3 linked regions of the Styela clava genome follow. Each later gene encodes a partner of the first gene's protein in a complex. Links are inferred from orthologs where the notes say so. Each region holds a gene or a part of one and is shown in the gene's direction. Other genes may lie near its edges. The genes, in order: integrator complex subunit 9-like, integrator complex subunit 11-like and integrator complex subunit 4-like.

Region 1 (9,111 bases):
AAACGTAATATCAAAAACAGTATTAACGATGTGACGAAGTTTCGATATCATACTTCCAGGATCGACTCCTGTTGTTTATGACTATAAAGATGGTATGTGTAAAATTTCCCTAGCATGGTTGATGACGCAAAGGATAAAAATCTAGACCAAAAGGCAATGCAATAAATTTAAAGAATATAAAACTGAAAAAAGAATTAAAAATGTCACTTATACACTAGGCCAACTTATTAAAATCGATAGGGTCGGTAACACGATATAAATACACGGCCAAACCATTTTTGTACTTACACGGCAGTGTGTTTGACATCTCCAGTGTTCGCTGGATTTTGTTAAAGTGTGCTCGGCGATTTGGCGCATCGTGCTAGGCGTTAGGAATACGCTCACCATCCAACCTCTGATTACTACGCGTGGGTTCACAGGTTCGAATTCCATGCGGGGATAGTGATGTGCGAGAGTATAGCTGCTCCTCGCCGTCGTAGGGTGGTTCACGTAACCGCTGGTCAGTTACAGCTTTCTCCACCATCAAGTTCATGCTTCCTAAAACAAGTAACTGTCTACCTAACTAATCCATACCCGGCATGGACCGCTAACTGGAGGAGAGGCCATACCATTGCACACTTTGCATTTTGTTAGTGTGTGATATGATAAGTGAATTATAACTATATAATTATATATATAAATTTATATAAGTGGAAAGTAGATGTAATATGTTATTTGAGCATCATTCATCGGTTGTTGCTTCTGCATGTCATGAGCGCGCTAATTTACATGCATAATCAGGTAAAGACGATTTATGACGTTATAATATCCGACGACAACAGCTTGTTGTGTAACATCAATGATAGTGTCCACTTTCTTTGTCAAACTATAGCCAGGCCATCACGACAAACTAATCATGATAAATTTGCTTGTGAACTATCATCACGCGTCTGTCCAAAATTTAATATCTTCAAACAAGTAATTGTGAAATTGCCTATAATTTTGATATTATAGCTAAAACGCCCATATTTTCAGAATACTTCATGAATTCTTGCTCATGGTATCGTTTGGAGACAAAATGAATGCTTGTTCGAGGCCATGTTTGGAGACAAACAAATGCTTTTCCAACGTCCTAATTGTTTGAAGATAGCACAGAATGCTTGTCTATTGCTTTCAACGAAGGAAGCACGAATGCTTGGAGGCTTGCCTTAATTGGTAACAACATGATTGCTTGTCTAAGGCCTTGTTCGGAGACTACCCTATTGTGGGCTTTGCTGTCAATTGTGACAAATATGGGGAGTTTTGTCCCGAGCTTCTCACGTTATACACTGACCGCTGTATGAACAAAGAATCTTTCCTGAGTACGCTCCCTGTCAAATCACGGCCCTTTCTTCGAAGGTTAGCTGGGTAAGTGGCAGGGTTTGTCTCCTGTGCAGTCCCGACGTCCTGTAGCAATGACTGCGGTCTTTGTGCACGGTTTTGTGAGGTGCAAAATATTTTCGACCGCTTATTAGAACGCTAACAGATGTCCTGTCGATTTGGAAGTATAGTTGTCAACTCTAATGGTTGTACAAGCTAAAAACGATAGGCCAGGAAATATGTAACCGGATACTTGTGGCGGCACCAAATTGAATCTGTTTAATACTGACATAGGCAAACGACGGCCTGCCTGCCGAATTTGGCCCGTTGAGTGATTCAATCCGCCTGGTGCTCTCATAAACTTCTGCTTTCATTCAATTCTGCCTGCGCTACATTCTTACCATGTAATTTATTAGTCTATCTTTTCCCGAAGGTTTTTAATAGCCTTTTTCTTCATCCCTTTTCTGCAGCCTTATCCGTGTAAATTGATAGCTGAATCAATAAAATCTAATGTTTGCCCACACGAGTTAGTGAACAGATGTTCAGTCTGATTAATTACAACAAATCTAAACAAAATTATCAATAGATACTCACCTTAAAACTGTTTTGACAAATGCCACAACCAAATTTTGATGTTTTAGCTAAAAATAAATTCAAGGAATTTGTTGAGATTGCGATTAGATTTAGTTGTTACACGAGGCTTATTGTTTTCCACTTTTGCCTTTGTAGCACTGTAAATAAAATTCCGTTCATTAAATATAACTTTTATACGTCACACTTACATGGCCCGCCGGTTCAATGGGCAAAATTTTTGTCCCCTTATCTAAAACCTTGCCCACCCGTAGTCTAATAAAATCTTGTGGCGGCGAATGTGGTATAGTATGGTACACAACACAAGGAACGCGTGAGTGTGACCAGTGTTCTTAATGTACAGTAATAATATAACGATTGTCTTACAACTTGCTGGAAACCATTTAGACCAGCGATTCCCAAAGTGGGCGAAACGCTCCCTTGTGTTCGTTTGCAATAACTTGGGGGGCGCTGATGGCGATTTAGACAATTGAGGGGCGCTGGATGTCAAACAGGGCGATTCGGGGCGCTGACATCAATAGGGGAACTCACAAAAAGGGTGATATTATATATAATTTACTATGCTATGGTTCAAACTAGTTTGCTTGTGATTTCGGTGTTGGAAATTTCTCGCTTTACGTAGAATATTAAATCCGTATTGTTTCGTAATAATACTAGTCTACCGCTACGGCATACCGGTACGCTTTCTTCACCATGCACTGCGCGTTTCGTTGTACTGTTTTGAATAACAGCTTCATTTTACTATCGGGTACTAGGCAAGGGTGGGATTCAAACTTTTTGTCAGCCGGTTCCTGCACAAAAGACATATTTTTCAGCCGGTTCTGTTACAAACAGAACATTGACAGTAACCAGTAATGCTAACCGGTTCGCTGATCTCATAAAATTCCGTGAGACGGTTCTATAGAACCGGCTGAATCACATCACTGGTTCTATGGTGTTTTGAAGCGGTAGTGTAAGTACAACACCCTTATGTTATAATTTTGGGTTTGTTAGGAGCAAGACGTGAGAGCTGAGCATCAGATACCGGTAGGACCGTCTCGTCCGTCTCCATGTTGCGACTTAACTGGTTCATTTTTATTTGTTGAGTCATTGAATAATAAGGTTACATAATTAATACATAAATTGACAAACGGTAAAGATCTAGCTTGCTGTTAAATCATGTTGTGCTTGACATTGTTTATTGTCGGTTTATCATTTGTGTTGCGTAAGTTCAAAATAACGAATATAGTGATTTAAGCAGCATATTTAACTGATTTATATCAAAAACAGTATTATACATCTGTACATCGTGGTCCCAAAAAAAAACGGTACCATCTATTTCTCAATTACTTCTACGAAAATGGAGTGAATTATTCAAATTTGTCTACACTTGAACTACTGTTTGTACCCAAAAGTGTCGGAAAATCTAGGGCGTTTTGCACAAAAATTATGTTGTTTCTAGAATATGTTTCAAATGCCCTCCTCGGCATTGAAATAAGAATTGCATTCTTTTTGCAACATTGTCAATCACTCTACTTTGGGTATCTCTCTATTTATTTCTGCTATTGAAGCCTTGAGTTAACCACTCGTTTGAGGATTGTCCTGATACAAATTGTCCCTCGACAAATATTAAAACATATCAAAATCTGAGAGGTTTCAGTCCGATAATTAAGATGCCCACTGTATGTCATTGCTGACTTCTCTCTCAGGAAAGCAAGCGTCTGATTTGATGTATAGGACGTCGCCTCGTTATGTTGGAAACACTGCTGGTCACCTCCATCAATCCCTCAAGTGATGTCCCAGAGTTTTCTCGGTACAACCACGTAATGTTCTGTATTCACCGTTTGAACGCTTTAATTTCCATTGCATGTCCTGCGCTTCAGCAGAAAACTGAGTGGTTGAAAATTTTGCGAAACATCTGAGAAAATCATACGCAAACAGAAGTTCAAGCGCAAATAAAATTAAATAATTTTTTTGGAGATAGAAATTTTTGGTTTACATTTTCTAGATAACTCTGAATTTCCAGAAGCGAACATGCACCACTACCATTGGATTTATACTTTCAAATCCATGTTCAGTCTTTCAGTATTCCATCTTTTTTGGAACAGAATCAAATTTAAATATCCTCATGTGTGCGATCGGGTTGAAAGTTTTTTTATTGCTCTTGCCAGCTCATTCCTGGTAGAGCGTGTATTTATTGCAGTGACCGCACTTTTACATATCAAGAGAGCTTCCCTCGACAGTGTCAGGCGAGGAGACATAAGACTTTATTTAACTGAAATGATGCTAGATAATATCAATCTAGTGGCATTTCACTAGGCTCAACCTTCACATTATATATACTAATGATAAATGGAGAATAAAGTTGCTTTGACTTTTTTGTCAGAGGGGCGTTTGCTAGTTAAAAAGTTAACATGGGGCGCGGGTAAAAAATAGTTTGGGAAACACTGATTTAGACAGAAGCGCAAAGTTTTCGTACTTTGGTTCAGGGGAACATGTTCTAAAATTTTGATACCAGTATCCAACCAATTTTTCCAAACTTTTGTGTGTTCATTGTTTTGTATAACTTACGGTCAGCCGGAATATTTTTTTTCGGGGAAATCAAAGTAAACTTATACCGGTACAGTACTGCAATATCAGACTATGCAGGATTGCAGGGACTATTTTTTCGCAAAAGTTAATTTTGTAATGTACTAATGCTGTAATGACGTGCAGATTGAATGACTAGCCACAGGTGATAATTCTGAAATTATTAGGACATTGCACATTTTGAAGTGTTGATGTTTGGCAGTGCACAGATGTCAGGATGTACTGATGTAAGTGGGACACTCGCTGTACCACACGGTTCTGGGGTTACGGTAGGTTGTTCAGCTTAATCATAGGCTTACCATACGTCCCGGTTTAGCCGGGACAGTCCCGGTTTTATCGTGTTTTTCCACCGTCCCGGCGATAGACTCAAATGTCCCGGTTTTGCAGTATGACAGTCATAAATAATTTTTCTATTTGATACTATTACAAAATTGCTTTTTTTTCAACGGACGCAGCCGATTTACCACTGATTTGCGTCTCACTCACTAGTTCAGATAGAGAGAAAATTGTTATGACATGACGTATGAACCATGCGTTAATATAACGCCCAAGTGTACTGTCGTTGAATCATCAAAATGTCGAAAACAAAGTGCAAGTTTTCTAATGAGTTGAACAATTTTCCGAAGACCAATAGAGGATTTTTCAATATAATTCACAGCTAATTTTGGTCCCTATAATAAGCCCACAATGGTATGGTAAACATTCAGAGTATTACTAAACCCCTAGAATCAAACCAAAGTTGGCTTGTCCTATCCGCTTCGTCCCGGTTTTTTGTTTCAGAAATATGGTAAGCCTACTTAATCATATGGCGAACCACGACCTCACGTATTGATAACGCTCAGCAATTTCTGACGATAAGCCACACTGCCAAGCCATAGTTTGAGTGTTGACTGAAATCAGAAAATAGACCAAGCATGAACACAAAATTAACCTGTACAATACAGCAGTACGAGTATGCTTTTATGGTACCATACTGTAACCAAATGATTGAATGAAGTTGTTTCCAATTGTTACATTTTACCTAAACTGCCTAAAGTGTTCCTTTTCTTCTTGTCACCAATTGTTACATTTTACCTAAACTGCCTAAAGTGTTCCTTTTCTTCTTGTCAAGTAGCTATCACACTACACAAATAGGTCAATCGGACCATTGAATTAAAATAATACTGTGATAATTTATACACAAATTGGTGATATTGGCTGTGAACTGAATGCTATAATGCGGGTTTATAATCTATCACCAAGTGATACATGCCCATGCATTGTGCTGAAGTTCAAGTCTTGCACTATTATGCTCGACTGCTCCTTGGATTTATTATCTTCTCTGAAGTTTTTACCTTGTGGATCTACTGAGAGAACCAGTGGAAAGCATTTGTCAAAATGGGTGCTACGAGACTCGGATGGGCAAGTTATTACTGATAATGAACTGAAAGAATGCTCGGGTTCAGTGTTTGTTGACAGTAGCCCTGAGTTTTGTATTCCTGAAATTGATCTTTTGGACCTGTCAACAGTTGATGTCATTTTAGTTTCAAATTACTTCAATATGCTTGCTGTACCATACCTAACTGAATATTGCGGATTTCAAGGTGCTGTATATGCAACGGATCCTTCACACCAAATCGGACGTTTGTTCATGAAAGAAATGGTGCAATACTGTCATCGATTATCACCAACGTCCCAAGCAACAAAATGGAAAAATGAGGATTTAGAAAACAACCTACCTACATCATTGAGAGATGTTTGGAATAACGATGTTCTTTCATGGAGACAGTGTTACAATGAAAATGATTTACACAATGCACTTTCAAGGGTGCATGTTGTTGGTTATGCAGAAAAAATCAGCATATTTGGAAGTTTAACAATAAGCGCGTACAGTTCTGGATTTGCGATTGGAAGCTGTAACTGGTGTATAAATTCAGACTATGAAAAGATAGTATACATGTCTGATAGCTCGTCTTTAACAACACATCCGCAGCCGATGGATATTACACCATTGAGGAACAGTGATGCTTTAATATTTACTGGATTAAGTAGAATGCCCACAAATAATCCAGATAATATGATAAGTGAATTTTGTAGTTGTTTAGCTGTAACGCTGAAAGCTGGTGGTAATGTCTTGGTTCCATGTTTTCCATCTGGTCTTGTTTATGATTTACTTGAATGCCTTCTTGCTTATTTAGACCAAGCTGGTTTAACAAACATTCCAATATATTTTATATCACCTGTCGCTAAAGACTCATTGGCATTTTCACAGGTTTATTCTGAATGGCTTCATCCAAACAAGCAAAATAAAGTATACTTACCTGAACCACCATTTCCACATGATGAACTGATTGCAATGGGCAAACTTAAGGTTTTTTCTAGTATCCATGAAGGTCTGTCTGCATCTTTCAAAAAGCCATGTATTGTCTTTGCTGGCCATCCATCACTACGATTTGGCGATGCTGTACATTTTATAGAAATGTGGAAAAATTCAGCAACTAACTCTGTCATATTTGTTGAACCAAATTTTCCATATCTAGAAGTTTTGGCTCCATTTCAACCCCTCCAAATGAAAGCGTATCATTTTGAAATTGATACTCGAACAAATCCATCGGCAGCAAATTTAATATTAAATGATTTAAAAGCAAAACATGTTATTGTGCCGACAAGTTATACAAAACCACCTGTTTTGCATCCCCATAGAACTGATCTCTGTCTTCAGTTGAACCAACCTCTGCTTTGCATGGACAGAAAATCAGTTTTACCAATTGATGTCAAAAGACAATTTGAAAAGGTTCAGCTTTCTGCTGATTTGTCAGCGACATTATTACCTGCTGAAGTTAGACCTGGAGTAATGCTTGCCGCATTATCAGGTGAACTTGTAGTCAAAGACAATAAGCATAAGTTAAAACTAGTCACCAAGCCAACTCCAGGAAGCAAAAAAAGAAAATTTCAGGAAGTAAGTGCTTTACACCGACCTCTTATGTGGGGAAAACTTCATGTTGATAATCTGCTTGACAATTTGATTAAAGAAGGCTACACAAATGCTAAAGTGGAGGATACATCTTCTGGTCATATGATTCTTCTTCGAGACACAATTATTCAAATTGACGAAGATTCAACTCATATTGTGTGCGAAGGAAATGAATCGTTGAGAATAAAATTGAGGGATATTTTACTAAGAAGCTTGTCTGGATTGTGAATCAAAAATAAAAATAATTTTACACGATTGTAATTTTTAAAAAGTATTTTATGTTTCTGCATTTTGTGCCAGCAGTCATCCATTTCAGCACATCTTACTAAATTGTTTAAGAAAAGGCCAACTTCATCTCAATATTTGCTTAAACCAAATCGCTGATTCAGTACCATTCTGCTGGTATTTATGATGGGACAGGAAGTGGAAATGAATAGTGTTGCTAAATTCTTGTTGTTGTTCTGGAATAAAAGGCCCTTTTCCACAATCTAATGAGAAATCCATTTTAAATTTTCAGTTTTTCAAAACATCGAATATGTGAAATTTTATTTTGAAATATCTCTATGGCAGGGGTCGGGAACCTATGGCTCCTTTAGTGACGGCATATGGCTCCCAGAAGAATCTAATATTCTTATGCTATGCTTACTATTGTTACGAGATTTCGAACTCTTTTATAGCCACATTTGGCAGAAAAATTGCCAATACGTTTGAAACGGCGCTTCCAGCGCATGTCTATGTTATGTAAGAGAATCACCAGATAGGCATTTTGACGAAACTAGGGGATTCTGGAACATATTTTGTGACCTCACAAAGCGATAGAGTTGCGGAGCAATAGAGAAAGCTTTTTGTACGTACTGGTTGTACAGTATTTGTCATATACAGATCGGACTAGTAAAGCTAGTGTTTTAAAATACTACGGAGATGCCTGAACGAAAGAAGGGAGATGAGTATCGTAGATTTCAACTTGTGCTGCATGTGAACAGCCGTTCAAGGCATGCAGCATCAGAAGTCACATTAAATGTATATTGACATATATGTGTTGACTTTTGAGTAAAAATTTCAGGCCTGATTAAGTTAAGAAATGCATTTATGGTTCGCACGGAAATGCAATTGAAAATATATGTACTTTTTATGGCTCTCTTAACCAAAAAGGTTCCTGACCCCCTGCTCTATGGGGTCCTGATGGGACCGATATTTCAACAAAAATAAAAGATGGAACACTCTTTACTCCGACTGCCACTTTCCGATCTCTTCAAACTCAGTGCCAGTACCATCGAGGTGTAAAGACCTTAATGGCCGGTACCGATGCTCTACATTCGTTCTCTTTTAAGAACCGGTGTCTTATTCTATAACAACCAGTGTACGGTATATTAGAGAATCTCGGGTAGATAATATGATTTATTTTCGATCATAACCAGGACTACGCATTGCAGTGAGAAATATTGGACCTGCAGGGTCGTCTGAGGAGCAAAAAATCAAATATTATTGCATTCATTTCACCTCTGATTCCACCCCGCGCCCAAGAGTAGATAGATCGCTTATCTCTAACCGATATGTGACGTGACTGTAACTCGGTCTTTCCATTGCTTTAGATTTTTGTAGGATCTTTCACAGGAGTCCCCATAGTCGGCCTCAACGGTGTAGCGTTCACTATTCTTGGC
Region 2 (7,891 bases), on another chromosome or scaffold:
TCAAACCGTATATATGGTCAAACGGATCAGAAGATACGCGCTTGAGCCACTGAATTGGAAATACATGGAACGATCTTCTCTCTGGTGTTGCGATGTCGCAGCGCGGGGCAATTTGATCGTCGCCATCTTTGCGTTTATGCTTCCAAAGTTTCAGGTTTTGGCCAGCTTTTCGTCTATTTTACTACCCAGTGCGCTACATATGGATCTATATGCGACCTTTTGTGGGTATTGAAACACGATTATACTCACGTTGGAAATTTATAGTCTGATGTGGATCTCGTTTTTGAAAAAGTTTGGTTGTTTAGGCCATAGGTTCTCAAAGTGCTCCGTACGGAGCCCCAGGGCTCCGCGAGAGAAACCCAGGGGCTCCGCGAGCTATTCGATTACTTTTCAAAATAATGACTAGTTTTGTAGCTGTTCAAAGAAGCAATAACAGCTTTGATAAAATTTGACAACAATATAGCCTCGAAATATGGCAAAGAGGCGGAATTAAAAAATGACATTATTTATAAGCTGGAGCGCAGCCAGGATTCTCAAGAGGTGGGGATTTGCGCGCAACATTCTTTGCGATTATAAAAAACGGATAACGAGATTTCTGTTGCGTAAAATATTCAATGCATGGCCGATGCGAGCATTTAAAGTGTCTTGTCGTAATAATTCAATTGTACTCATAGTTACTCAAGTTTCATTCGAGATTACTATTAGGATTACTAAAATGAAAGAATACTATTCTAAAATAACATAAAAGACGTGATAAACTGCCAACTATAAATAAATTGGAGTCGTATTTTTGCGATCTTGGAATTTGTCAAACTTGATTTGTTCTTTTGCACTCGAGATTATTATTAAGCAAGATATCGCCGTTTAAAAAATCACAAGATCTGGGCAAAATACGATTGAAATTTATTTCAAATGCATGCGGCTCCGTCGGTAGTTTCAGAATAAAAAAAGGTAAATCGCGCACACAATTGACTGTGTTTCGATTTCGCAGTTACTATACGATGAATACCCAAAAGAAAACCTAACATTACACCAAATTTTGTGATTTACAATGCCTATAAAAGCGTTTTTCACATTGAACTCATAATTCCCCACGAGAACAAAAAAGCAATTATCGTCGTCATTGTGGAAAAATACATGTATATGGCGAAGAAAATTTTTGATTTAGGGAGAATAAACACCGGCGTAAAGATGTTTAAAAACATGCCATGCTGACAAAAACTATCGGTGATTGTAACAAAATGCAATCGCGCACGTTATTACGGGCCTTTTTAAGTCTTCCGAAAATGTCAAAAGGGAAAAGATTCGACCCCTAGTTTATTAATATGTTTGTCAAGTGTCAAATTTACAGCTTTAGTAAGAGTATATATAATTTATCTTTGAAATTTCGATTTATTTATGACTTGCATTAACCCCATTAAAAAGGTTTAGCATTTAATTTAAGTTAAGTACTTTTAACTTACTCAGGAATATTTATCGGAAAGCTACAATTTTAACATTTCTTTTGGGGCTCCGCGAATAATAGTCAACCTTTTCAGGGGCTCCGCAACACCAAAAGTTTGAGAACCCCTGGTTTAGGCGATTATACAATAGATATAAGTGGAAACAATTGTTTTTGCCTTATATAATAAAAATGCAATAACCTATAGTCTATAAAGTCTATAGAGTAGGCGAACAATATTAGTTACCTCCATATTGGTACACGCACTTATGGAGCGCTCTTTAGTTATATTTATATGCACGGCTCTGGAACTACGGAACCAGGCCATGCAATGATATTGAGATCGCTACGCAAAATACTTAAGGCAATAAAATAAGGCCAAATACAGGTAAATGGGGGAGCGATTCCGATAAGACATCTTGGCTAATGTTTTGTGGTCGTTTTTGTTCGCTTTTGACTGATACGTTGACCATATTATTAACCCACTACTTTCGCAAATTTATAAAACTTCCAAAATTAGCACCGTATGGTAGGCTAGGGCAGCGTTTCCCAAACTTTTTCGGCCACGGAACACTCACACTTTTCATCTCGTCTCGCGGAACACCGAAAAATGAAAGTGTAAAATTGATAAAGAAAAATGGTGTAAGGCAGCGGTTCCCAAAGGTTGCGCCAGGAGAACTAGTGTTGCTAAATGCGCCGCGAAAACTAACAGAATTGTATTAAACATTAATACAGTATGATTGAATATTTAACATAGCATTTACCATAAATGTTTATTTTTTCCTATTTTAAAAATATATTAATCAATAAATCAGTTATTGGACACGTAGTGGACATAACGATCGTTTCAATATTATGTTGATGTTGTTCTTTGACACGTTTTTAAAAAGTCGCTTTTCTCTTCGAATACTGGACCAATTGCTTTGAAATTTTCAGTGGTTGAAGATAAAATTTTTCTCCAGAAGGCTATTACTTTTTTTTTTGCTATGACGTCATCAAAGTTATTGCCATTGGGTGGCGCTACGTGTCCATATATTTGAGCATAGCTATCTTGTTTAATATGAGCATTTCAAAGTAAAACCAGGCAGAGAGGGAGAAGGAACATTTGACCCTTTTGCCTTTATTCTTTAAGCTTACATGTTTACCTATAGCAAAACCAAAAAGATTGCTGTAAATTTGATAATGAACTTGACAATCAAAAAGCTAGGCCGACGGTTCACGAAAATGGCTCTCCCCTTAAAACGTTAGTCCGCTTCAGGCCGGCGGTGACGCGATATTGAACGGCTTCTTCAGGATCCTGTGATCGCTATGGCGACCAATTTAGTCGTAATTTGTATCGCTTTTCCGCGGAACACTCGGAAGACCCTCGCGTCGCGGAACACTCGGAAGACCCTCGCGTCGCGGAACACTAGTGTTCCGCGGAACACAGTTTGGGAAACGCTGGGCTAGGGTATACTAGCGTTTGATTTAACCGTGAATATATACTACTACGCTTTAACCGCTTTTAACTGTGAATCTTAATGGTGAATTTTGGGGGAGCTGACTCTGATGACCCTAAGTGCGCATCGCTTCCACCAGTCCATACCGAATTAACTTGCATATTTTGTTGTACCAATGCTTGTTTTCTGGTTGACGAAACAATAAATCTCTCTCTCTTTGTAAGAAAAAGACTAAGAGTGAAGTGTAAAGAACTTATCGAAGATTTTTTCCAAAGCATATATTGGGATTTTGAATGCTGCTGAAGTCATACATGGACTACATGTTTACAAACTTTAAAAGACATAAAATACACAACGATGATCACAAAATTGAATTTTATTTGAAAGTAGCAATTTTTTTCTCAGGTTTTCCCTGATAATTTGGCGTTGCATGAACAAAATGTTGGGAACCGCTAAACTAACTAATTTCATACCCTGGACTAGTACCCGTGGAGGCCGTCGAGGATCATATGATTAGGCCGTTTAATCGGTTTTTCTCTCCCGCAGGATAAATATGTGAATAGTATTCTAAGTTTGCAAGCGCCATCTCGAGAAAAGGTATACCAAAAATTTGCCAAAATCTACTAAAATTTGGGTGTCAAAGGTCGAACAGACATCCATTGAAGGAACGGGTGAATCCAATTCACATCATATTGGTAGGCCAAGTTCGGTCGGAGTCTAATGTAGTTTCGTGCCTAACGTACTTCTAGAGGGCGTAGCATACGAATTTTTTTTTTCGTATCAATCCTAACCCCCACCTGAATACGCCATCCAAAAATTAGTCCCAGTTCCCCAACCCATTCAGTTAAAAAAATTTCATTTTCAAAATTATTTTTGGCAATAATAGGCTCTAGTTTGGGCAATGAAGTGGTCTAGCCCACCTCTTCATGCACCCAATTCTGGCAACTTTGGTTGGGCATTTTGGCATTTGACTCCATCTATAATCAGCTTGACAATATATTTTTTTATAAAAGTTTATCTTTACTGTTCACTCCCATTTATAAAATTGATCAATTTGGCAGTGGCAATCATGATAAATTTATTAATATGGTGTGGCAAGTAATTTTTATTTATTTATTTTTTATTAACTACCAGTATGTAATTTTTCATGTTCCCTTTACTTAATAACTTCTATATGGTTGCGTGTAAGCGTGTGTGAAATATTTCAATTATTTTAGGTGAGTGAACACGTACCACATCTTCTTGGCAAAACCTTCCATCTTATATACATTCTGTACGTTTTAAACCTTATCTAAGGTGTTGTTCGCTCTCCTGATTTCATAATCAGTTTTTATTTATTTATTTTTAGCACTCATTTTATTGTTTTGCTGATTATGGAGTCGAAATAAACCCATACTTATACTTATCACTTCAATAGTTTTTTTCATTTTTGTATTTTAATTTCGTAGTCTAGTTGTATGGAAGTGCTAACTTCTGAACTTATTAATTTAACAACTTGAAAAAAGTTTGTATTTCTGTGAGCCCATAATATGCCTCAATCATATGGCAAACCACAACCTTGATGGTGGAGGAAGCCATCAAGTCCACTTGCAGACTTGTACAGTTAGTTATAGCACCTACAGACCTAACATATCAACGTTTTAAATTTGGCAGCTATCCTATGGTTTAATACATTTAGATATGCCTTTTGATAATTGCTGAATTGGTAACGCAGTAATGCCTGACATAAAAGTTGTACCCCTTGGTGCAGGCCAGGATGTTGGCCGCAGTTGCATATTGATATCCCTTGGTGGAAAAAATGTGATGTTAGATTGTGGAATGCACATGGGATTTAACGATGATCGAAGGTTTCCTGACTTTTCATATGTCACTGGTGGAAAGGGACGATTAACCGAGTATATTGACTGCGTTATTATAAGCCATTTTCATTTGGACCACTGTGGTGCATTACCATACATGTCTGAAATGGTTGGCTATGATGGACCAATCTACATGACCCATCCTACAAAAGCAATAGCTCCAATCCTTTTGGAAGACTACAGAAAAATAACTGTTGATAAAAAAGGTGAAGTTAATTTTTTCACCTCACAAATGATCAAAGATTGTATGAAAAAGGTAGTTACGGCAAATCTGCATCAAACCATATATGTTGACGAAGAACTCCAGATTAAGGCGTATTATGCAGGGCATGTATTAGGAGCAGGAATGTTCTACATTCGTGCTGGAACTGAATCTGTTTTATACACAGGAGATTATAATATGACCCCTGATAGGCATCTTGGAGCAGCATGGGTAGATAAATGCCGGCCAACCCTGCTTATTACTGAATCAACGTATGCAACAACTATACGAGATTCGAAACGATGTCGAGAAAGGGATTTTCTGAAGAAAGTGCATGAAACAATTGATAAGGGTGGAAAAGTATTGATCCCTGTTTTTGCTCTTGGAAGAGCACAAGAACTTTGTATTTTACTAGAGTCATACTGGGATCGCATGAATTTGAGAGTTCCAATATATTTTTCAACAGGTTTAACTGAAAAAGCAACAAATTATTACAAGCTTTTCATAACTTGGACAAATCAAAAGATAAAAAGTACTTTTGTGGATAGAAACTTGTTCGATTTCAAACATATCAAGCCATTCAACAGAACACTCATTGAAAATCCAGGTCCCATGGTTGTTTTTGCAACCCCGGGAATGCTCCATAGTGGATTGTCTCTTGAAATTTTTAAAAAATGGTGTACTAGTGACAAAAATACCATCATAATGCCTGGTTATTGTGTTGCAGGTACTGTAGGCCACAAAATCCTTTCTGGTATGAGGAAAATCGAGTTGCAACCTGGTAAGGTGGTTGAAATCAAAATGCAGGTACAATATATGTCGTTTAGTGCACACGCTGATGCTAAAGGGATAATGCAGCTAACTCGTATGTGTGAACCAGAGCATGTGTTGTTGGTTCATGGTGAAGCAAAGAAAATGGAATTTTTAAAAGCAAAAATAAATCATGAATTAGGATTGGAGTGCTTTAATCCAGCAAATGGGGAGACCTGTGTCATCTCATCAAAGCCATGTGTACCAGTTGACATGTCTTTAAAACTCCTCAAACACAAAACTGAAATTGTTGATACTGCAACTCCGAACCCAAAATGTTCTAAAATTATACATGGAGCGTTGCTAATGAAAGACAATAAAATAAGACTTTTAGAACAAGATGAAGCATTACAAGAACTTGGACTGCCAAAACATGATTTACGATTCACATCAACAGTGGAATTACAAAATGCTTGCCGTTCTGAAAAACTAACAATGACTCGATTATATGAACATTTAAAGCAGTTGTTGAGGTCACATTCTGTTAATACCACATCAGATGGACATATATTGATTGAATCAGTTTTACTTAAAGTTCAAAAAGATTCAGAAACAGCTATGGATGTGTCGGATGATTTTAATACCCATGAAGATGACAGTCCAGCAAGTAAATCAATATTGGTTTCATGGCCATATCAAGATGAGGATTTGGGAAGTTATTTAATGGAGGTTTTGAAAAATGGTTTGCCAAAATCAGTGACAAAACTTCCTGTTCACTGACGTACTTGTTCAATCTTTTCACTAAATCAAGACCAAAATCATATGGCCATATTGATATAATTTCAAATACTAGAGAACTTGCATAATCCGAGTTTTTCTTAAAATCAGGTCCATTATTTCACCAGTTTTGTGCATCTCAAGAAGTATTTACAGTTTACACATACATCTGGCTAGTACTCTAGTCAAAGCTAAACTTGAATGAGGCAGTTGCGCCATAATGCAGAATCTGTTGAGCACAATTGTTTTATAGGTTTAGAAAGCTTACTCTATTAACCCTGCTACATCTTGTGTACACACTGCTTTGTGCATATTCCGTGCATTTGTTACTTTCTTTTTTATCAATATAATAAACACAATAATGGGTTGTCAAATCTTTCAAGTGTTCATCCTTTAAAACTTTCTGGGGCAAGCTTGGAGTTGGTTGGGAGCATATTAAAGAACTGATTGGATATCCTGTGATTTAATAATATCAGTACCGGTACCAAGTTTTATGTCACTTTATTTTGGTTCTATCTCATGCGCCGAAAATGTCCAAGTACTGGAAAATCTTTTTATGCTAAACAAAGAATCACTGATCTCCGAGATAAAATAGGCAGCGGTTCTCGACCTTTTTCGATGCATAAATCCTTTGGCCTATTTTCATGCTCATCAGCTTCTGTTACGCGCAAGTAACACTCTTAAGAATAGATGATCATAATGTGTCCGCAATTGCATTGCGATAATACTAAATAAGTCAAATGTTTGCAGCGATACCCGCATTATTTATTTGTTTTATCTACTATTTTATCGTCTGTTATGCTGATTACGCAGTCGAAATAAACTTATACGGTACCTATTATATACAAAGCAAAATGTCTCGAAACAATGAAAGTTTTCTATCCAATCCTCTCACGTTTCACTCATATACGAGGCAAAATATTTTCCCGAAACATTAAAACTCCTCCGATCCAGTCCTCTCACGTTCATTCATATACAAAGCAAAATATCCTCCCGAAACAATGAAACTCCTTCGATCCAATCCTCTCACGTGTGCCAGAAGCCTCTTTAGATGAAACATGTGAAGGATCAATAAAATGTTGTACGCAATTTTCTGAATGAAACATAATTGGGGTAATCCACACAGGCCAACTATGCAAGATATTAATGGTTTTAAACCAGCAGGTGACCCGCCAACTCGCGCGCGAATTAATGCAAGAAACATAGTAACATATTAGTCATAAAAATCTATGGAAGCGTTAATTCAATCTGACAATAGGCGAAAAATAGTGGTTCCAGCGTGTATCTGCTGACAACAATGCTGCTTCGCAGTTTATTTAATCCGCCGTTTTAAAAACAAAAGACCTGAATTAACTACCGCATAAATTTGTAGTAACAATGAATTTGGATGGCAGTGATTTTAATGCGGTTGAAGTCGATTAAA
Region 3 (8,449 bases), on another chromosome or scaffold:
TCTCCTTGTCACAAATGAATACTGTACGTTTATTAAACTAAGAATTAATTGGGAAAGTTTAAAATATAAAAAAAAAACATTTTACGCTTTCTATAATGGGTTCTTTTCTGAATTCCGAAAAATAATCGTTTTTGAAAGGGCGATTTCTCGAAAACCGCCAATAAAGTCAGCACTACGACACATTCGGAAAAAAGCAAACACCTTTTAGATTCGACTTCACTATACCATAACAGTAGCAGCACGTTTTGACTTGGCCATTTATAATACCAAACATAGCGTATATCTCAATTATTTGAATAGCGTAGATGTTCACATATTTTAAAAAGGTTTGGTATTTCAAATAAACTCACCTAATATCGTAATATTACGTTTTCTTACTTTTTCAAACACCGACACTGTGTGTTAATTAAACTTGGAATAAGATGCAAATTGTATAAAATAGTGAAAAATGTCTTAGAACCTATATATAATTTTTTTCAATTTCCCAAACATGCCGTTTTTGGAGTGACGAATTCTCGGAAAATAGCCAATAAAGGCAGCAATACGACACTTTTGGAGAATAGCAGATACGTTAAAGATTCGATTTCACCAAACCAGAACAGTAGCAGCACGTTTTGATTTGGCCATATTTAATACTAAACAAAGCATATAATTTTCAATTATATCAACTATGTAGATGTAACATATTTAAAAACGGTTAAGTATTTCAACTAAATTTACTGGATAATTCATCAAACACTTTTTTCTCTTGGTCATACATCAAAACTGTACGTTCATTAAACTTGGAATTAGTGTGCAAATCTTAAAATGCCAAAAAATGATTTGACGCCCTCTAGTGGATCCTTTTCGGAATTTCGAAAAATTATCGTTTTTGAAAGGGCGATTTCTCAAAAACCTCCAATAAAGGCAGCACTACGACACATTCCGAGAAAAGCAGATACCTTATAGATTCGATTTTAATATGTCAGAACAGTAGCAGCACGTTTTGACTTGGCCATATATAATACCAAACATAGCGTATAATTTTTAATTTTATCAACTATGTAGATGTAACATATTTGAAAACGGTTAGGTATTTCAACTTAATTTACTGGATAATTCATCAAACACTTTTTTCTCTTGGTCATACATCAAAACTGTATGTTCATTAAACTTGGAATAAGACGGCGAATCCTAAAATAACAAAAAATGATTTGACGCCCTCTTGTGTTTTTTTTTTTGAAGTTTTGAAAAAATATCGTTTTTAAAAGGGCGATTTCTCAAAAACCGCCAATAAAGGCAGCACTACAACACATTCGGAGAAAAGAAAATACCATATAGATTCCATTTCATTATGTCAGAACAACAGCAGCACGATTTTACTTGGCCATATATAATACCAAATATAACGTGTATTCACAATTTTATAAACAATGTACACGTAACATATTGTAAAAAGATTTTGTATTTTAACTAAATTTACTGGATAATTCATCAAACATCTTTTTTTTTTGAACGTACATCAATAATGAACGTTCATTAAACTTGGAATAGGTTGGAATAATATAAACTAATTTACGAGCTCTAAGTCAATATTTTCATTAAAATATAAAACCACGAATCGGTTACAAGTAATGATGGATCATTTTAGCCTGTCCCTAGTCAATCGCTGTCATTCCAGAACGCACTTTTTCATTGCAATCAAACTTAAGCTCATCGGAAGACACGATAACGATTAAAACACTTCATCCAAACCTATTTTTTTGAAACACGGCGAGAAACTTACAAATAACTTGCGAAATTGCGAAAGAAGGCAATGTTCACAACCATGCTTGAATGTCTATCTAAGAGAACAAGGTGTATCAGCGAATGTAAAAATAAATGCAAAAAAGAAGGGAAATTTACGATATGTTTGGTATTACGTATGGCAGAGTCAATCGTGCAGCTACTGTTCTAGTACAGTGAAATGGAATTCAAAATGTATTTGTTTTTTTCCGAATGTGTCGTAGTGCTGCCTTTATTGGCGGTTTTCGAGAAATCGCCCTTTTAAAAACGATATTTTTTCAAATTATGAAAAGAATCCACAAGGATGCGTAAAATAATTTTTTGTTGTTTTATACTTTCCGCAACTTATTCCAAGTTCAATTAAAGTACAGTATTGATTTAGGACCAGGAGAAAAATATATTCGATTATTTATCGAGTAAATTTAGTTGAAATACCAAACCGTTTTCAAATATGTTACGTCTGCATTGTTTATAAAAGTTTGAATACACGCTATGTTTGGTATTATATATGGCCAAGTCAAAACGTGCTGCTACAGTTCTGACATAATGGAATCAAATCTATAAGGTATATGCTTTTCTCAGAATGTGTCGTAATGCTGCCTTTATTGGCGGTTTTCAAGAATTCGTCACTCCATAAACGGTATGTTTAGGAAATTGAAAAAAATATATAATAGGGCGTAAGACATTTTATGTGGTTTTATACAATTCACAACTTATTCCAAGTTTAATTAACGTGCAGTATTGATGTATGACCAAGAGAAAAAAGTGTTTGATGAATTACCAGTAAATCTAGTTGAAATACCTAACCGTTTTTGAATATGTTACATCTACATGATTGATAAAATTAAAAATTATACGCTATGTTTGGTATTATTTATGGCCAACTCAAAACGTGCTGCTACTGTTCTGACTTTGAAATTTTGAAAATAATCCACAAAAGGACGTAAAATGCTTTTTGGTATTTTATACTTTCCGCAACTTATTCCAAGTTTAATGAACGTATGGTATATATGTATGTCCAAGAGAAAAAGATGTTTGATAAATTATCTAGAAAATTTATTTGAAATACCAAACCGTTTTTGAATAATGTTAAGTCTGCATTGTTTATAAAAGTTTGAATACACGCTATGTTTGGTATTATATATGGCCAAGTCAAAACGTGCTGCTACTGTTTTGACATAATGAAATCAAATCTATAAGGTATTTGCTTTGCTCCGAATGTGTCGTAGTGCTGCCTTTATTGGCGGTTTTTGAGAAATCGTCCTTTTCAAAAACGATAATTTTTCGAAATTCCGAAAAGAATCCACAAGAGGGCGTCAAATCATTTTTTGGCATTTTAAGATTTGCACACTAATTCCAAGTTTAATGAACGTACAGTTTTGTTGTATACCCAAGAGAAGAAAGTATTTGATGAATTTTCCAGTAAATTTAGTTGAAATACCAAACCGTTTTTAAATATGTCACATCTACAATATTTAATAAAATTGAAAGTATACGCTATGTTTGGAATTATATATGGCCAAGTCAAAACGTGCTGCTACTGTTCTGACATATTAAAATCGAATCTATAAGGTATCTGCTTTTCTCCAAATGTGTCGTAATGCTGCCTCTATTGGCGGTTTTCGAGAAATCGCTATTTCAATAACAATAATTTTTTGAAATTTTGAAAATAATCCACAAAAGGACGTAAAATGCTTTTTGGTATTTTATACTTTCCGCAACTTATTCCAAGTTTAATGAACGTACAATATATATGTATGTCCAAGAAAAAAAGATGTTTGATAATTTATCTAGTAAATTTAGTTGAAATACCAAACGTTTTTTGAATATGTTACGTCTGCATTGTTTATAACTTTTTGAATACACGCTATGTTTGGTATTATATATGGCAAAGTCAAAACATGCTGCTACTGTTCTGACATAATGAAATCAAATCTATAAGATATCTGCTTTTCTCCGAATGTGTCGTAGTGCTGCCTTTATTGGCGGTTTTTGAGAAATCGCCCTTTCAAAAACGATATTTTTTTGAAATTCCGAAAAAAATCCACAAGAGGGCGTAAAATCATTTTTTGTTATTTTTAGATTTGCCACTTATTCCAAGTTTATTGAACGTACAGTTGTGATATATGGCCAAGAGAAAAAAGTATTTGATGAATTATCCAGTAAATTTAGTTGAAATACCAAACCGTTTTTAAATATGTTACATCTACATAGTTAATAAAATTGAAAATTATATGCTATGTTTGGTATCATGTATTGCCAAGTTAAAACGTGCTGCTACTGTTCTGACATATTAAAATCGAATCTATAGGGTATATGCTTTTCTTCGAATGTGTCGTAGTGCTGCCTTTAGTGGCGGTTTTTGAGAAATCGCCCTTTCAAAAACGGTAATTTTGTGAAATTTATTAAAGAATCCACAAGAGGGCGTAATTTTTTTTCGGTATTTCAGACTTTCCTCAACTTATTCTAAGTTTAATGAAGTGCATTATTGTTGTGTGACAAAGAGAAAAATATTTTCTTTGATGAACTATCCAGTAAATTTAGTTGAAATACAAAATCAGTTTCAAATTTGTTATATATACATTGTTTTAAAAATTGAAGAATATACGCTATGTTTAGTATTATATATGGTCAAGTCAAAACGTGCTGAGACTGTTCTGACATATTGAAATCGAATCTTTGGGGTTTCTACTTTTCACCAATGGTGTTGCAATGCTGCCTTTATTGGAGGTTTTCATGAAACGACCATGTTACACGACGAAAATTCAGTCATTTTTAAACATCTCTCAAAGAATTATAAAAAAATTTTGTGCACTGTAACAGTCGCTTTAGCTTGTTTACTATATATTAACAATACGAGGAGTGTAATTAATGATTGTTTTGCTTTAATTGCTATTGTGAAACTAATCAAAATATACACTTTCTTTTAAAAATCATTGGGAACATTTATTTTCACGCGTGGGTATTTTCTGCGATTCTGTCAGTCACAATTTCGTGTTTTGCTGCTAGCTTCACAGAGGTGAAAATTTGTGGTAATCGATCTTGTTCGTTCTGAGTACGGATCGAGAGATTTGTACACATGAAAATGGCGGTTCATCTTAAAAAGAGGGCTTGTGAAGAATTCAGCCATGTTATCCAAAGCGACCTTAGCACACCAAAACGGCTACGTCTAATTAAAAAAAGTTCAAGTGAGTGTTAGGTTAAAACACTGAAAACATGTAAAATATTCCCGTATAAAATTGGATTTTTTTGTTCGGATTTTTCATATGTTTTAAATTAATTTACACATGACGGTAAAATAAATTTAATACCGTACTTCATTCCAGTGCTGGCTAATTGAATATCTATATTGATATATCACCTGTTTGTTTCAGTTCATATTGAAAAACAAACTTAACCATTAACTTCGTCATTTGTTTTTAGATTCAACAGAAAAACAGACAATTGTAAAAGTCAAAGATTCTGACAGCTCAAAAGAAAAACTTCAATCCCTTATTCAGTTCTCAAAAAAGCTTCCAATACCTCCTAATCAGGTACGGCAGAATGTTCTCGAGCTACTAAAACTTTTTGCAAATGAGAAAGATTCATCTGTTCGAACAAAGATTGCTTGGTTGATAGGGAATTTGTGTCAAACAGCAAGATTTAATGCTCTGAGCACACTGAAAAGTATTATTTCACTCCTTAAATCTGAAAAATCGAGCCAAGTATTGTCACAACTTTGGTCTGTTCTCACTAATTGCGCTAAAATTCTCCCGAATGAACGAGAACTACATGAAACCCTTGTTGAACTTGCTTGCAAAACATTGCTTAGCAAAAACCATAAAGTTCGAAGCGAGTGTCTTATACTGATCGGTAACCTCGGAAAAATTGAGAAATCGACTGAACCATGTAGGCCTAGTAGTAAAAGCAATAAAGTGAACATACAAACACTTCTTGGAGATTTCTTTGGAGATCAAGAACCAAGAGTACGATGTAGTGCATTACAAGCAATGATATTGCTCCATCAAAGAAGACAAAACTTAGAACTTCATGTGTATAATCAAGCTTGCTCAGCTCTTTCTGATGACTATGAAGCTGTGAGAGTTGCTGCTTTAAAACTTGTCTGGATAATGAGCAACATATACCCAGAAAGTGAGGTATCTGTTTCAATGTCAGATGAAAAACTACGACTTGTAGATGATGCTTTTGTAAAACTGTGTGACATGGTGAATGACAGTTCATATAAAGTCAGAGCGGCTGCTGCTGGACTTCTAGGTTCCATGCACCTAGTTAGTAATTCATTTCTTTTTCAAACTCTGGACAAAAAATTGATGTCGGATTTAAAAAAGAAAAAATCACTAAACGAAAAAGCAAAAGAGGCATATGTGGGTGAATTCTCTTCTGGTGCTAAATGGGCGGATGATGCTCCCAAAGAAGTAGATACGGAAGCTAACCAGCTTATAATTGGAGGAGCTTGTGGTGCCTTTGTTCACAGCCTCGAAGACGAAATGTTAGAAGTACGAACTGCTGCTGTTGATTCTCTTACAGAGCTTGCATGTCATCGTATCAATTCAAAATTTCCTCAAGCAGCTTTGGATTTTCTTGTTGATTGTCTTAATGATGAAATTGAAGCCGTAAGATTGAATGCAGTCAATTCTTTACATAAGATCATGCAGAATGTTGCTCTTCTTGAAGACCAATTGGAAAACGTATTAGCGGGAATGGAAGATTTCTGTGTTGAAATAAGAGAAGGAATACATTTACTGCTAAGTAATTGTACCTTGACATCAAAATTCTGTCTTAATGATACAATTATGAAGTTGCTCAAAAATCTCAATAAATATCCACAGGACCGAATGTCTATCTGGAAAGCTTATAAACACATAGGGAAGCATCATAGCCAATTGGTGTATTTGCTTGTTCCGCATTTACTATCATGCCATCCTTACTTTGATATGCCTGAACCAAAGATGGACGACCCAGGTTATATTGGCGTTCTTATTCTTGTTTTTAATGCAGCGGAATTATGTCCGAAAATGACGCAAATATTCCCAGAGCATGTTGTAAGGCATTATCAGTATCTTCGTGACAGTATACCTGATTTAGTACCGCAAGAAATTAAACTAACAACTTTTGCAAATGGAGATGAATCGTGTATGAATTCCCCACCTCGACGGTCTGAAGGTGCATCAGATCCTGCAGAATTTTTAAACAAAGCACTACAACGTGTTAAAAATCTACAACTTCATGACAGCAGGACACAAAAAAGCCTTCTCACTTGTACCATCAATGATTTGAAACACATTTCTAACATTGCGCCAAAGCTTTCATCGACTGCTACCAGCTCAGCAAATTTTTTGCAAGCACAACTACTTCTGTCAGAAATAGTTGATACCAGGGCGTGGTCTGGATCTGCATTGGCTTGCACTCAACATTTAGAATCCACAAGACCGGCTGCTAGAAAAATTGAGAGACTAACACAAGAACTAGAGCATTTGTTTCTTGGTCTGAGTACGGACGAAATTGCTCTTCTCAGGCAGATGTGCCTGAAAGCACAATCATTGGAGTTCCTAATGGATATGCAGAACCTAATGAATCAAAAAGATGTGTCAACGTCTTCTCTTTCACTGAGATGCCAGAAATTCTTTAACACTATAAAAGATGTTCATCAGTATTTGGAAACGCACAATCATATACCTGATTCATTTTCAAAAACACTTTTCAACGAAGTCTTAAAGTTGGATCCAACGAAAAAATATTCATTAGTTGTCAAGTTGCTTCAACCATTGTTATTACATTACAGTGTATCTAATGTCACTTTCTCCAACAAAGTTCGGGAGTCAAAGGTCGTAGTTCATACTCCTCTTTCTCGGACAGATTCCAGTATATCCTTTTCAGCAGGATTAACTACTGCTCTAGATGTGGATGCTACTTCAACAAATATCCCAAACCCATTGCGTGATGTGAGAATACAGATTAAATATCCAGATTCAACTGTTCAAATGGTTCTGTTAAAACCACAGGATATCAAACAAATATCTGCAATGGAGCATCGAATAATTACTAAGGTGAATTCTTTGACTAATTACTATTTACAGCATGCTAATTGTATTTAATATTCAAGGGGTGAGTAGGGACAGAATACCACATAATTCATTATAAAAATGTAATTTGTGAGCTATAAATATGATTTTTGAGTATGCAAAATCATGATTTAAGTTAGTAAATTTTCCATAGTGAAGTTATGCTTATGGCACTTTACACAATTTTGATTTTCACAGATTTATTAAGGATTTTACATGAAACACATGGCGGAATAGCTATTTAAATAAATATTGGAATCCTAAATTGGGAGATAGTAATGTGATAGTGTCTTTACATTTTTTCCGTTCACTTAAGAAATCTTAATTGCAGGTGTTTATCAGCCATCAGCAATGGACAGATGCTTGTCTTATCAAGATGCAATTTGTTAAAGTATTCAACACTGGAAGATCCCATGAAGAAGGATCTAACATTGGAATTCTCCCATTGTCAAAGACTGTTGAAATCTTGTTGCATCCTAAACCCACTATTCGTGCTTAATAATTGATGAATTTTTTACTTAATTAAAATCAGATCTTCTTGTCACTTGTCAAAGCTTTGTATAGAAAATTTTCAGTGCTTCAGAAGTATGTGTCAATAAGGAAGTAACTAATTTAGTTCGCCT

The links.
Region 2: the proteins of integrator complex subunit 9-like (region 1) and integrator complex subunit 11-like are in contact, whole or in part, in a cryo-EM structure (PDB 7SN8), measured with the Drosophila melanogaster proteins. The link is inferred for Styela clava from reciprocal best matches to the Drosophila melanogaster genes IntS9 and IntS11. Residues at the interface, in NP_648838.3 of Drosophila melanogaster: Glu128, Tyr198, Asp199, Glu200, Lys201, His230, Asp333, Ser334, Ala337, Tyr338, Asn340, Ile341, Glu344, Gln351, Val354, Tyr355, Leu356, Pro357, Asp358, Asp359, Pro360, Arg509, Lys510, Leu511, Asp512, Arg513, Ile514, Tyr515, Ile516, Ser518; in NP_651721.1 of Drosophila melanogaster: His94, Lys97, Ala98, Pro135, Thr137, His139, Gln140, Ser141, Glu149, Lys151, Lys274, Thr277, Tyr278, Lys280, Met281, Phe282, Ile283, Thr284, Trp285, Phe294, Val295, His296, Val450, Lys451, Ile452, Pro453, Val454, Asp455, Ala456, Ser457.
Region 3: the proteins of integrator complex subunit 9-like (region 1) and integrator complex subunit 4-like are in contact, whole or in part, in a cryo-EM structure (PDB 7SN8), measured with the Drosophila melanogaster proteins. The link is inferred for Styela clava from reciprocal best matches to the Drosophila melanogaster genes IntS9 and IntS4. Residues at the interface, in NP_648838.3 of Drosophila melanogaster: Arg2, Arg23, Met88, Lys90, Met91, Asp93, Glu96, Asp98, Arg173, Lys176, Asp203, Leu205, Gly206, Gly500, Glu501, Ile502, Arg504, Val544, Lys545, Asp546; in NP_572488.1 of Drosophila melanogaster: Arg105, Leu108, Val112, Thr115, Asp116, Asp147, Thr148, Ser149, Lys153, Glu156, Gln193, Met196, Arg200, His231, Lys234, Gln264, Asp265, Ser266, Arg269, Tyr302.

What each region holds. Positions count from the first base shown.
Region 1 is NC_135251.1:23,510,270-23,519,380, forward strand, and holds integrator complex subunit 9-like, read left to right. Parts: upstream 1-5,315; 5' UTR 5,316-5,713; coding exon 5,714-7,678; 3' UTR 7,679-7,998; downstream 7,999-9,111. UniProt on the Drosophila melanogaster protein: Component of the integrator complex, a multiprotein complex that terminates RNA polymerase II (Pol II) transcription in the promoter-proximal region of genes.
Region 2 is NC_135252.1:16,274,726-16,282,616, reverse strand, and holds integrator complex subunit 11-like, read left to right. Parts: upstream 1-4,514; 5' UTR 4,515-4,596; coding exon 4,597-6,471; 3' UTR 6,472-6,826; downstream 6,827-7,891. UniProt on the Drosophila melanogaster protein: RNA endonuclease component of the integrator complex, a multiprotein complex that terminates RNA polymerase II (Pol II) transcription in the promoter-proximal region of genes.
Region 3 is NC_135259.1:15,384,674-15,393,122, forward strand, and holds integrator complex subunit 4-like, read left to right. Parts: upstream 1-4,764; 5' UTR 4,765-4,843; coding exon 4,844-4,952; intron 4,953-5,187; coding exon 5,188-7,811; intron 7,812-8,157; coding exon 8,158-8,325; 3' UTR 8,326-8,370; downstream 8,371-8,449. UniProt on the Drosophila melanogaster protein: Component of the integrator complex, a multiprotein complex that terminates RNA polymerase II (Pol II) transcription in the promoter-proximal region of genes.